Yarrowia lipolytica: one gene and its partner. The protein of the gene in region 1 purifies or fractionates together with the protein of each later gene. This does not show direct contact. Links are inferred from orthologs where the notes say so. Each region holds a gene or a part of one and is shown in the gene's direction. Other genes may lie near its edges. The genes, in order: YALI1_A09626g and YALI1_D23274g.

What was found.
Region 2: the proteins of YALI1_A09626g (region 1) and YALI1_D23274g purify together in Saccharomyces cerevisiae (affinity purification with mass spectrometry; 3 studies listed by BioGRID, with this or other methods). This does not show direct contact. The link is inferred for Yarrowia lipolytica from reciprocal best matches to the Saccharomyces cerevisiae genes MPE1 and RNA14.

What each region holds. Positions count from the first base shown.
Region 1 is NC_090770.1:960,602-964,725, reverse strand, and holds YALI1_A09626g (uncharacterized protein), read left to right. Parts: upstream 1-2,111; coding exon 2,112-3,524; downstream 3,525-4,124. Other genes in the region: YALI1_A09638g (uncharacterized protein), read right to left, coding at 1-304, 785-826, 877-909; YALI1_A09593g (uncharacterized protein), read right to left, coding at 4,052-4,124. UniProt on the Saccharomyces cerevisiae protein: Component of the cleavage and polyadenylation factor (CPF) complex, which plays a key role in polyadenylation-dependent pre-mRNA 3'-end formation and cooperates with cleavage factors including the CFIA complex and NAB4/CFIB.
Region 2 is NC_090773.1:2,325,254-2,330,416, forward strand, and holds YALI1_D23274g (uncharacterized protein), read left to right. Parts: upstream 1-2,175; coding exon 2,176-4,596; downstream 4,597-5,163. Other genes in the region: YALI1_D23237g (uncharacterized protein), read left to right, coding at 1-278; YALI1_D23265g (uncharacterized protein), read right to left, coding at 347-1,264. UniProt on the Saccharomyces cerevisiae protein: Component of the cleavage factor IA (CFIA) complex, which is involved in the endonucleolytic cleavage during polyadenylation-dependent pre-mRNA 3'-end formation and cooperates with the cleavage factor NAB4/CFIB and the cleavage and polyadenylation factor (CPF) complex.

The sequences.
Region 1 (4,124 bases):
AAAGCTGGGAGGAAGTAAGAGTCGTGAAGCCAAGGTTGAGGTCAGATCCTCCAAGAAACGAAATTCCGTACAGACCAAGGAAAACAAAACCGATAACAAACAGCAGCAGCCAGTTGGTGAGGAGAGAATAGAGAGAAAGGAGACCGAAAATGATGGCATAGTTGGTGCTGAAGTATCCCAGGTTGAAGTTGATTCGAGCTTGAGCTTCGCCCCAGGTCGGGGGCTTGGAAATTCGTCGGAAATCGAAGAAGTCGGTGGGGGACTTGAGATTGGCAAATCGGTTCTGGAGATTCGCGCCCTCAGTCTGTGTTAGTCCAAAGCTCAGAAAGCGCAGATCCAGAGAATTCCCTTCGCCTCCATATGCTCGCGGGTGATGGTACCTCAGAGTACTAGAGGCACACCAATGTTTTCAATAACGTGAGACACGTAGGGGTCGCTATCATCGCGCTGGCTCAAGGACGTGTTCGATGGTCGCTCACAGTCGCGCACCCTCTAGACTTCTTCACGTCACTGAGGATTCTCAGGTTTAGCGCCATATGCTTAAGTGCGTCACATTCTGCTTACAACAAAGAGTCGAGCACGGGATGACCATCTTCGTCTCACAGTCCACACAGATTTGGGCAAGCCTCATCACGGTGGATTACGGTCGCGTTGTGAGACAAATTTCAACAGCATTGAACGTACATCAATAACGCTTCCGTTTATTCTCAATACCATCTCTTTTTGAGACTTCGCGATAGTCTCGTATTAATTTCACCATGCCCATCTCCTTGATGATACTCACTCTTAGTCGCTCGAGGTTGAACCGTTCAGACAGGCCAGACAGCTGTAGTTAGTAAAAGTTGGGATGCGAAAACGCAGGGGTCTCATACTTACTGAGCTGGATCCCATAGATGTGATAGCGTCCATTGTTGTTGTTGTTGTTTTCGGTGAACACCAAAGAGCCGGTTCAGTATCAACGAATTTGTGGGAACAGTGTTTTTTTATGCATCCCACACGATAGCCTACGTGTCCGTGTTTGGGTTAGGGTTACGTTTCCGGTATGTGAGTCACGTGATGGACAAACACAACTCTTGCAAGTACAGTACTGTACTTGTACGCGTGCACAGGACATACTGTACGATACCTATTTTGTAGTCTCAGGGGCGATGTATGTCAGGCTGTGAGATTCTCTGTAGAAGTGGCAAAATCTGCATTATCTTCATGACCACCGTGCTAAAAGACAGAAAAATTATGCGACCGCTGCTTTAGACCACGTTCCAATTACTGTACTCGTACAAGTAGAAGTACATACATACTGTACAAGTACATACTACATACTATACTCGTACTTATAAGTACAGTGTAGAATGGCTCTTGTCCAAGCCTCTGGGACGTCCCACTTAATGCTGCTGCTATACAGTATGTATTGTACAATACAAGAACAAAATGATCTTCAATAACTTGTACTTTTTTTTGGTTTTTTATACTTGTACTGTGCGATAGTTGTACGATAGCTACAAGTGTACCAAAGTTGCTACTAAATACTGTACTTCGCGTGCATGAATGGACTGCACGTGGTATGGGATGACTAATATGTTAGTGTTCTTAATATCGGTGCCATCTTCATGGGATTGTAAGCTAAGGGCGTGCCCAGAGAGGTCACTGAAGGGGTAATTCGGAATTATTCTACAAATTTCGTTATAATAGCACAATCATTTATCCCATAAATTTGGTTTGGGTACGGGTTACCCTGTCGTAAACGTCGGCATAATAAATAACTGTACGTTCAAGTACTGTGGCACAACGATAAGAAGAACTTCGTATCGAGCGATAGGAGCCATGGTAACAGATTATGTAGTATACCGATGAGGTGCCATATCGTAGCTCTTCAACATCCTAAAGCCCAAAGCTCTTAAAGCCTCACCTAGTACTTGTTGTTTGAACTTCGGTACATGTACTGGCTCGAATGTCAAAAACACTGTGATGCCTTAAAACCTGTATTTACGCCACCTGCAGTGTTACATAATCAACGACACTTTTCATTATACTTTTAGAGAGCTTGAAGAAGTGCACACCACACCAGTCATCCAACACAACTACTAATCAATTTATTACCTCTCCATCGCAGCATGTCATTTGTATACTACAAATTCAAGTCGCAGAAGGAGCCGTCCAAGGTCGTATTTGACGGCACATCCATCTCTGTGTTTGATCTGAAGCGTGAAATTATCACTTCTAACAAGCTGGACAAATCTGCGGATCAGTTTGATCTAGCTATTGTCAATCCCGATACGAAGGATGAATACAGAGACGACAACGAGCTGATTGCCAGATCTTCTTCCGTACTGGCACGACGACTGCCCTCTCGACCAGGCAAGGGCGAGGCCGCTAGGTACGTCAACGGAGCGCCTCCAGTCACACGCTACAGACGAGACGATCAAGAAGTAGTGCAACCAACATCAGCAACACCAGGATCTACTGGCACTGGAGGAGCCGAAGATGATCTCATCAATGCTATGTTTGCTGCTCAGGGAGAACAGTGGAAGGAAACACAGAAGCAAATGGCCTACCAAACCCCTGTCTACAACCGACCCTCTTCTTCTGGAAAGCCTCTTTCTGCCAACTCCAACAACCCCCAGGCAGCAGCTGCTCAGGCCCAGTATGGAGATACTCCGCCGGAAGGATACATGTGCCATAAGTGCGGTAAGAAGGACCATTTCATTTGGAACTGCCCCACCAACAACGATCCCAACTGGGAGGGAATGCGAATGCGGCGAACCACCGGTATTCCCAAGTCATTTCTCAAGACTATTGCTAAGCCCAACCTCAACGAGGACGATCTTGATGGTAAGTCTGCTGTCTTGATCAATGAGGATGGCGAATATGTGGTGCAGGTAGCAGATCAGAAGTCATGGGAAAAGCAAAAGGCTCGTGCTCGACATGCAGTTGAAGATACCAAGGCTAAACGAAAGGCTGATATCGATCCCGAACTGGTATGCCCTCTAAGCAAGAAACTGTTTGACCACCCGGTCACAACTCCTTGCTGCAAGACCACGTACTCAGAAGATGCCATTCAACAGGCACTGTTGGATGGTGACTTTGTTTGCCCCAAGTGTGGTGCTGAGGAAATTCTGTTGGACCAGCTTCACCCCGACAAGGAAATGGAGAAGAGAGTGAAAGAGCATATTAAGAAAGAGCAAAAGAAGGAAGAGCCCGATGCAAAGCGAACCAAAACCGAGGATGGTTCTGCTGTTTCCCAGGCTGGTTCCTCGGCTCCTCCCAATGCACCAACAGGACCCGCAGGAATGCCCCAGATGCCTTTCATCCCTCCACAGATGATGCCATTCTTCATGAAGCAGATGGAGCAGATGCGAAAGATGGGTATGCCTGTGCCACCAATGCCCAATATGCCCATGGGTGGTGCTTCTGGCGGCCAGACGTTTGTGGCTAACCCCAATGGAGTCACCAATGGCCAGTTCATGGACAAGGGTGCGAGACGACAGCAGATGAACCAGAAGAGAAGATACGATGACCGTCGATGATCTTCAAAACAGCATTGTTTTGTATATTGCATGTAATTTATATGGAGTTTTGGGTTATTCTAGTCAAGGAACCCTTACTTGTTGTAGTGTGTATCAATTATGTGTGGATTGCGATGTTGGTGGGCAAGGGAGGTGGCCTGTGGCCGAGATATAAATATAATATAATCGTGTGCGTGTTTGTTGTGCGTATTTCCTAGTGAACACTAGGGAGCCAGTTGGCTTAGTATGTACGTCAAATGGGATGCCTCCTACAGTGATACCCGCGTCGGTGTGTCAGGAGTTCATACGACCCAATGACCTCGTAATGCGGATATTTCGTATACAGTTGACATACGATACGAATACATACCCGTCCTATACACCATCGGTACGTTCTTGTAACTGTACCATACAGTATGTACTCGTATAACTATGAATACAATTGCAGTGCACCGGTACTTCTTAGCTTCTCCGAACTACAAGTCAATCAATTGTCAAAAATCCCTCACTCGGGGTTGTCTATAATCTATAATACTTCTATAACTTGTTTACTGCTTCTTACCGTCGTTGAATTCGATGACGGCGTACTTGCCAGACCAGCACCAAGACAGAGGGTTGGAG
Region 2 (5,163 bases), on another chromosome or scaffold:
CGTACGTATGCACTGCTCTGTCAGGAATCTTTGCCACCATCACTTCATACGAGTTGGCCTACTCTCTAGCTCCGACTCATATGCGATCAATCGTCATGTCTCTGCTTCTGTTCATGTCGGCCTTCAGCACCGCCATCGCCACAGGTATCACCCCGGCTCTGAGAGATCCATATCTTATCTGGCCCTTTGTAGGTCTGTCGGCTGGAGGAGGAGCATTTGCAGTGGCATTTCTGTGCTGCTACTGGAGGCTCGGAGAGGGTCAGAAGTTGTCCGTGTAACTTCATTATATACATTATGTACTGAGTGGATCTAGAAGTACGTACTTCACGTAGATGCACTATGCTGATTAATACCACCCCAAAATCTGCTTCAAATGGTAAATCCATAAAGGAGCATCCTTTCCTAGCGGTCCCTCCACCTTGAGGTCCTTGTTGCCAATCTTCTCAACGAACACGTCCTCGTACTGCAACAGAGCGGGAAACTTGCTCTTCAGCAACCCGGCCACAGCACAGTCAGGCAGCGCAGGCAGCATTTGAAGCTGCAGATGAGCACACAGAAACACATCTGACGTGGAAACCGTGCTGAACAGACTTCCTTTGGCGACATTTGCTGTGGCAGTATCCATCATGTCGGTGTAAATTTCTGTGGCCGAGTTGAGCAGTCGGAAAACCGTCTTGGAAACGGCCTTGGAGGCGTCTTTCTGCTTTTCACGCTCAACAGACTGATCGTAGAGCTTACCCATGCTGGGCTTGGGGTTGGTGAGAGACTCGGACGCCATCTTGGTTGCCGAAACAGCCCACGAGGGCGTCGCCGTGTCGATTCCAGCGGCACAGCATCGGTCCTTGGCCTGTTCTCGAAGTCGTACACTGACATTGTATTGCATTAGGAAAGGCATGAACTCGTTGAACATGGGCCGGGTCACCTTCTGGTACGCCTCTTCGTCCACAAACAGACAGTACTCTGTGATTGTCTGCAGACTGCTCATGTAGGCCAGGAGAGCTGTGTTTTTGATTTGTTCGTCCGAGGTCAGATCGGCGTCGAGGTTGTGTCCCAGCGACTTGAGGTATCGAATGATGGACTCGGCGCCTCCGATCTTTTTCTCCGACGTCTCCAGACACGGCAGCTCGCCCGCCAGACCTTCATTGGACGACTGCACTACCGTGAAGTCGATATCACATAGCTGCATGTACCAGATGGTGGCGAGACAGGGGGCGGAAAAGGTCAGGGAGGTGGACACGGGGCCCCAGACGTGCAGACGGAACATGATTTTCGGGGAGAGAATGAGAATGCGGTTGTAGACTGTTCTTTCTAAGAGGTTATGAGCATATCACCCAGTTTGTGAGTACAGTACACTCGGTTTGTGAGTGTGTAGGCGCGTTTGTGTTGGATGAAGAGGTGAATCAATAACGAGGGAGCTGTTCCGACGATGGTCAGCTGGTTGTATCTGTGTCTATCGCTGGTCTGTCGACTCCGTCAAGACTACAGCATGTACTACTTTTCATATATCGTAGGAGGTGGGTGGGTGGATGCGTGTGTTCGATTCGGGGTGGGGCAGAATAATGAAATTAATAAATATCTTCGGAAGAACGGATAAGTGGGACGTGGTGGCAAGGGTTTGTGCATAAAGTAGTGTTTTAGAAGACTGGTTGGTCGCTTCTAGTGCAATGGAGACCGTGACTGGGGAGATGCGGGGGGCGGGCTCCCCATGGAGGGCAGTGGAGATGGTACTTGTTCAAATATGCGATTTAACTGGTTGAAATGACACTTATTAAAACCATTTTTTTCTCATACGCATAGGCAGCTCTCATAAATGGAGGGGATGCTTTTTCACCTTCCAGCACTCACCGAAAGTCCCCGATCGAAGGGGTTCTGGAGTCGCAGCTATTACTTGGGAGTTTCAACTAACTTTGGGGGGTTTGTTAGGTGTTTACAAGGGATAGCAACGTTCCAGAGACTCGATCCAACTCGGTCTATAGTTATCCGATTGATTAGCTGAAAGTGCCAGTTGTATTCTAATAGCCCCAAAAACAGAATCCATGGCCCCTAATCAGCCTTATACCACCAGCAAACGCTCGTTAATGCCACCTCCCATTTTTCACCGCCGCCACACACAACCACCAACCTAAATCCGCATACACTACTTGCAGCACTTTTCAGACCCTGTCACTCCTCAACATGTCTGACGATTACGATCCTACGGCCGTGGCGTTCAAGCCGGGCGACATGGAGACGGATATGAACACTGGCGAGCCGCTGGCGCTCGAGGCCGAGGCTGCTGCCAAGGACCCGGCACATAATGAAGAAAGTGGTGAAGATACAAACGCAAACGTCGAGTCGGGGACCCTGGTGCACCAGGGCGACGAACCTGAATCGATTGACAAGGAGGACAAGGTGGAGGATGGACCAGACACAAAGAGCGATGGAGGAGTGTTAGACGAGCCCAAGGATGGGGAGCAGAGGGATGATGAGAAAAGGGAAGAACCCAAGCCTGAGAACTCGTCTGAAGAAGTCGCGGAAGATGACGACTATGTGCCTGCAGCGGTGAGTGAGCCTGTGGAGGAGGACTCGGCTGGAGGAGGGTCGGTTGGAGGAACCGGAATCCCTGATGGAGCTATCAGTTCTTTGGCTGCAAGCACTACCATCCCCCCTCCCAGCGACCCCAACCAAGTGGGAGGAGGAGCCAGCTCCACCAGCAACAACAACAACAGCGGCCCAGATAACAACAAGCGAAAACGACTGGCCACAGACACAATCGGCATTCTTGAGGACCGCATCGCCGCCAACCCCCGAGACATGCCTGCGTGGCTGGATCTGATTTCGACGATTGTGCGCAAGGAGAAGCTGGACGAGTCGCGGGACATTTACGAGCGGTTTCTGGCTCTGTACCCGCTGTCGGCCGAGATTTGGATCGAGTACATCACGCTGGAAATGGACAATGGCGAGTTCAAGCGCCTGGAGCAGCTGTTTGGGCGGTGTCTGACCCGCCTGCCCAACCTCAAGCTGTGGAACATCTACCTGACTTATGTGCGGCGAGTCAACGTGCTGTCTTCCGAGTCGGACAAAATCACTGAAGCCCGAACAAACATCATCAAGGCCTTTGAGTTTTACCTTGACCATGTCGGCATTGATCGAGAGAGTGGCAATGTGTGGTTTGAGTACCTGGACTTCATCAAATCCAAGCCGGCTACAACTACCTGGGAGGAGCAGCAGAAGAATGACCTCACGCGCAAAATATACCGAAAGGCGATTGGCATCCCGCTCAACAACCTGTCGATTCTGTGGACCGCCTACACCAACTTTGAGTACTCGCTCAACAAGGCCACAGCTCGAAAGTTCATCAATGAAAAGTCTGGCAGCTGCCAAAACGCCCGACAGTGCCAGACGGTGCTGGAGAACCTGATGCGGGGTCTGGACCGAAGCAGTGTGCCCAAGTCCGGGCCCAGAGACGAGTTCCAGGTGCGAGCTTGGAAGAAATGGATCGACTGGGAGAAGAGCAACCCTCTGGGTACCGACAACAAGGCCGAAACCAACAAGCGGCTGCTGTACTGCCTCAAACAGGCCGTTATGAGCTTGCAGTTTGTGCCCGAGATTTGGTTTCTGGCTGCTGAGTACTGTTTTGACGACCCTCTGCTCAAGACCGAGGCTCTGCAGTTTCTCAAGGATGGCCTCTCTCTCAACCCCAACTCATCGCTGCTGGCTTTCCGGCTCGCCGAGTACTACGAGCGGGAAGCCGATGCTGAAAAGATGCGAACCATTTACGATGAGCATATTGAGTCTCTGGGCAAGGAGAGACAGGCTCTAATTGAAGCTCAGGGCGATCCGGAGGCCGAGCCTACTGCTGAGATCATCAAGCTCAACACCCAGATCTCCATTGCGTACTCGGTGTGCATGAAGGCCGTGAAACGGTTTGAGGGTATCAAGCCAGGCCGAATGGTGTTCAAAAAGGCCAGAAACACTGGGTTTGCCACCTACCACATTTACGTCGCGTCTGCGCTGATGGAGTTTCACCACAACAAGAACCCCACGGTTGCCACCAACGTGTTTGAGCTTGGTCTCAAGTACTGCGGTTCCAATGCAGCCTACGTTCAGCATTATCTCGACTTTCTCATTTCTCTGCACGACGACACCAACGCACGGGCTCTGTTTGAGAAAACCATTCCTCTTCTAGGTCCGTCGGACGCTGCTTCGCTCATCAAGTCGATGATCAAGTTTGAGTCTGACTTTGGCGAGATCACCAGTGTGGTCAAGCTGCAGGACCGTCTGCGGCAGCTCAACCCCGACACGTCGCCCATCACCATCATTGCCGACCGGTTCGCTACCTCGGACTTTGATGTCATTCGACAATGCGACATGCTGCAAAAGCCCAAGTCGCGAACCGACGAAGATTCTGACTCGGAGCGGCCCAGCAAGAGAGCTCGCCGAACCTCTCACGGAAACGACCAGGGCGACAAGATGGAACCTTTCAACCTGCCTCAGAAGATTGATGCTTTGCTAAGGCAGCTTCCCAACTCTTCTGACTATGGAGAGGCTACGTTTGATCCTCAGCGGCTGGTGGATTTGTTTAGGGACGTGAGAATTCCGGACGGACTTCTTTAGCGGGTGGATGCTGGTGAGCACAAGGACCCACAAAGAGCAAAAGGAGGGGGACTGAAGAACTCGAGTCTTGTGCTTCAGCAAACAATGTCTGGATTGTTATATGGTTGTATGAGGGAGCGAGGGGTAGGCATATAATTGTCAATGTATTGTAGAGTAAGTACCATATTGATGGATAACAGTAGTTTAATGTGGCATCAATTGCAACTAAGACAATAGTCCTCAGTCAGCATCGCCACATTTCTCCTTAAAGCAATCTACCACGCCATCCCGTAAGACAGCGAAGACTTTGTAAGACACACGAACCGCGGCCGGTGAAGGTTGCTGCTGTGAGTGTTTAACACGCGCTCTTTAGCCCTTCAGGGTGTAAAAGAAGCCGTCTCTTTTGGAGTCAGTTTTGGCCGTGATCCAAAAGAGAGTGTAAATGTGTGTCTTTTCGGCACAAGAGCCGTCTCCGACGTTTAGCGGAGCTATCGACGCACCGGGCGGCGTTTCCAGTCGCTATCTCATGCATCGCTTCATTTCCGGCATGTATGGGATATAAAAAGCACACATTGCCGGTGGCTCTCT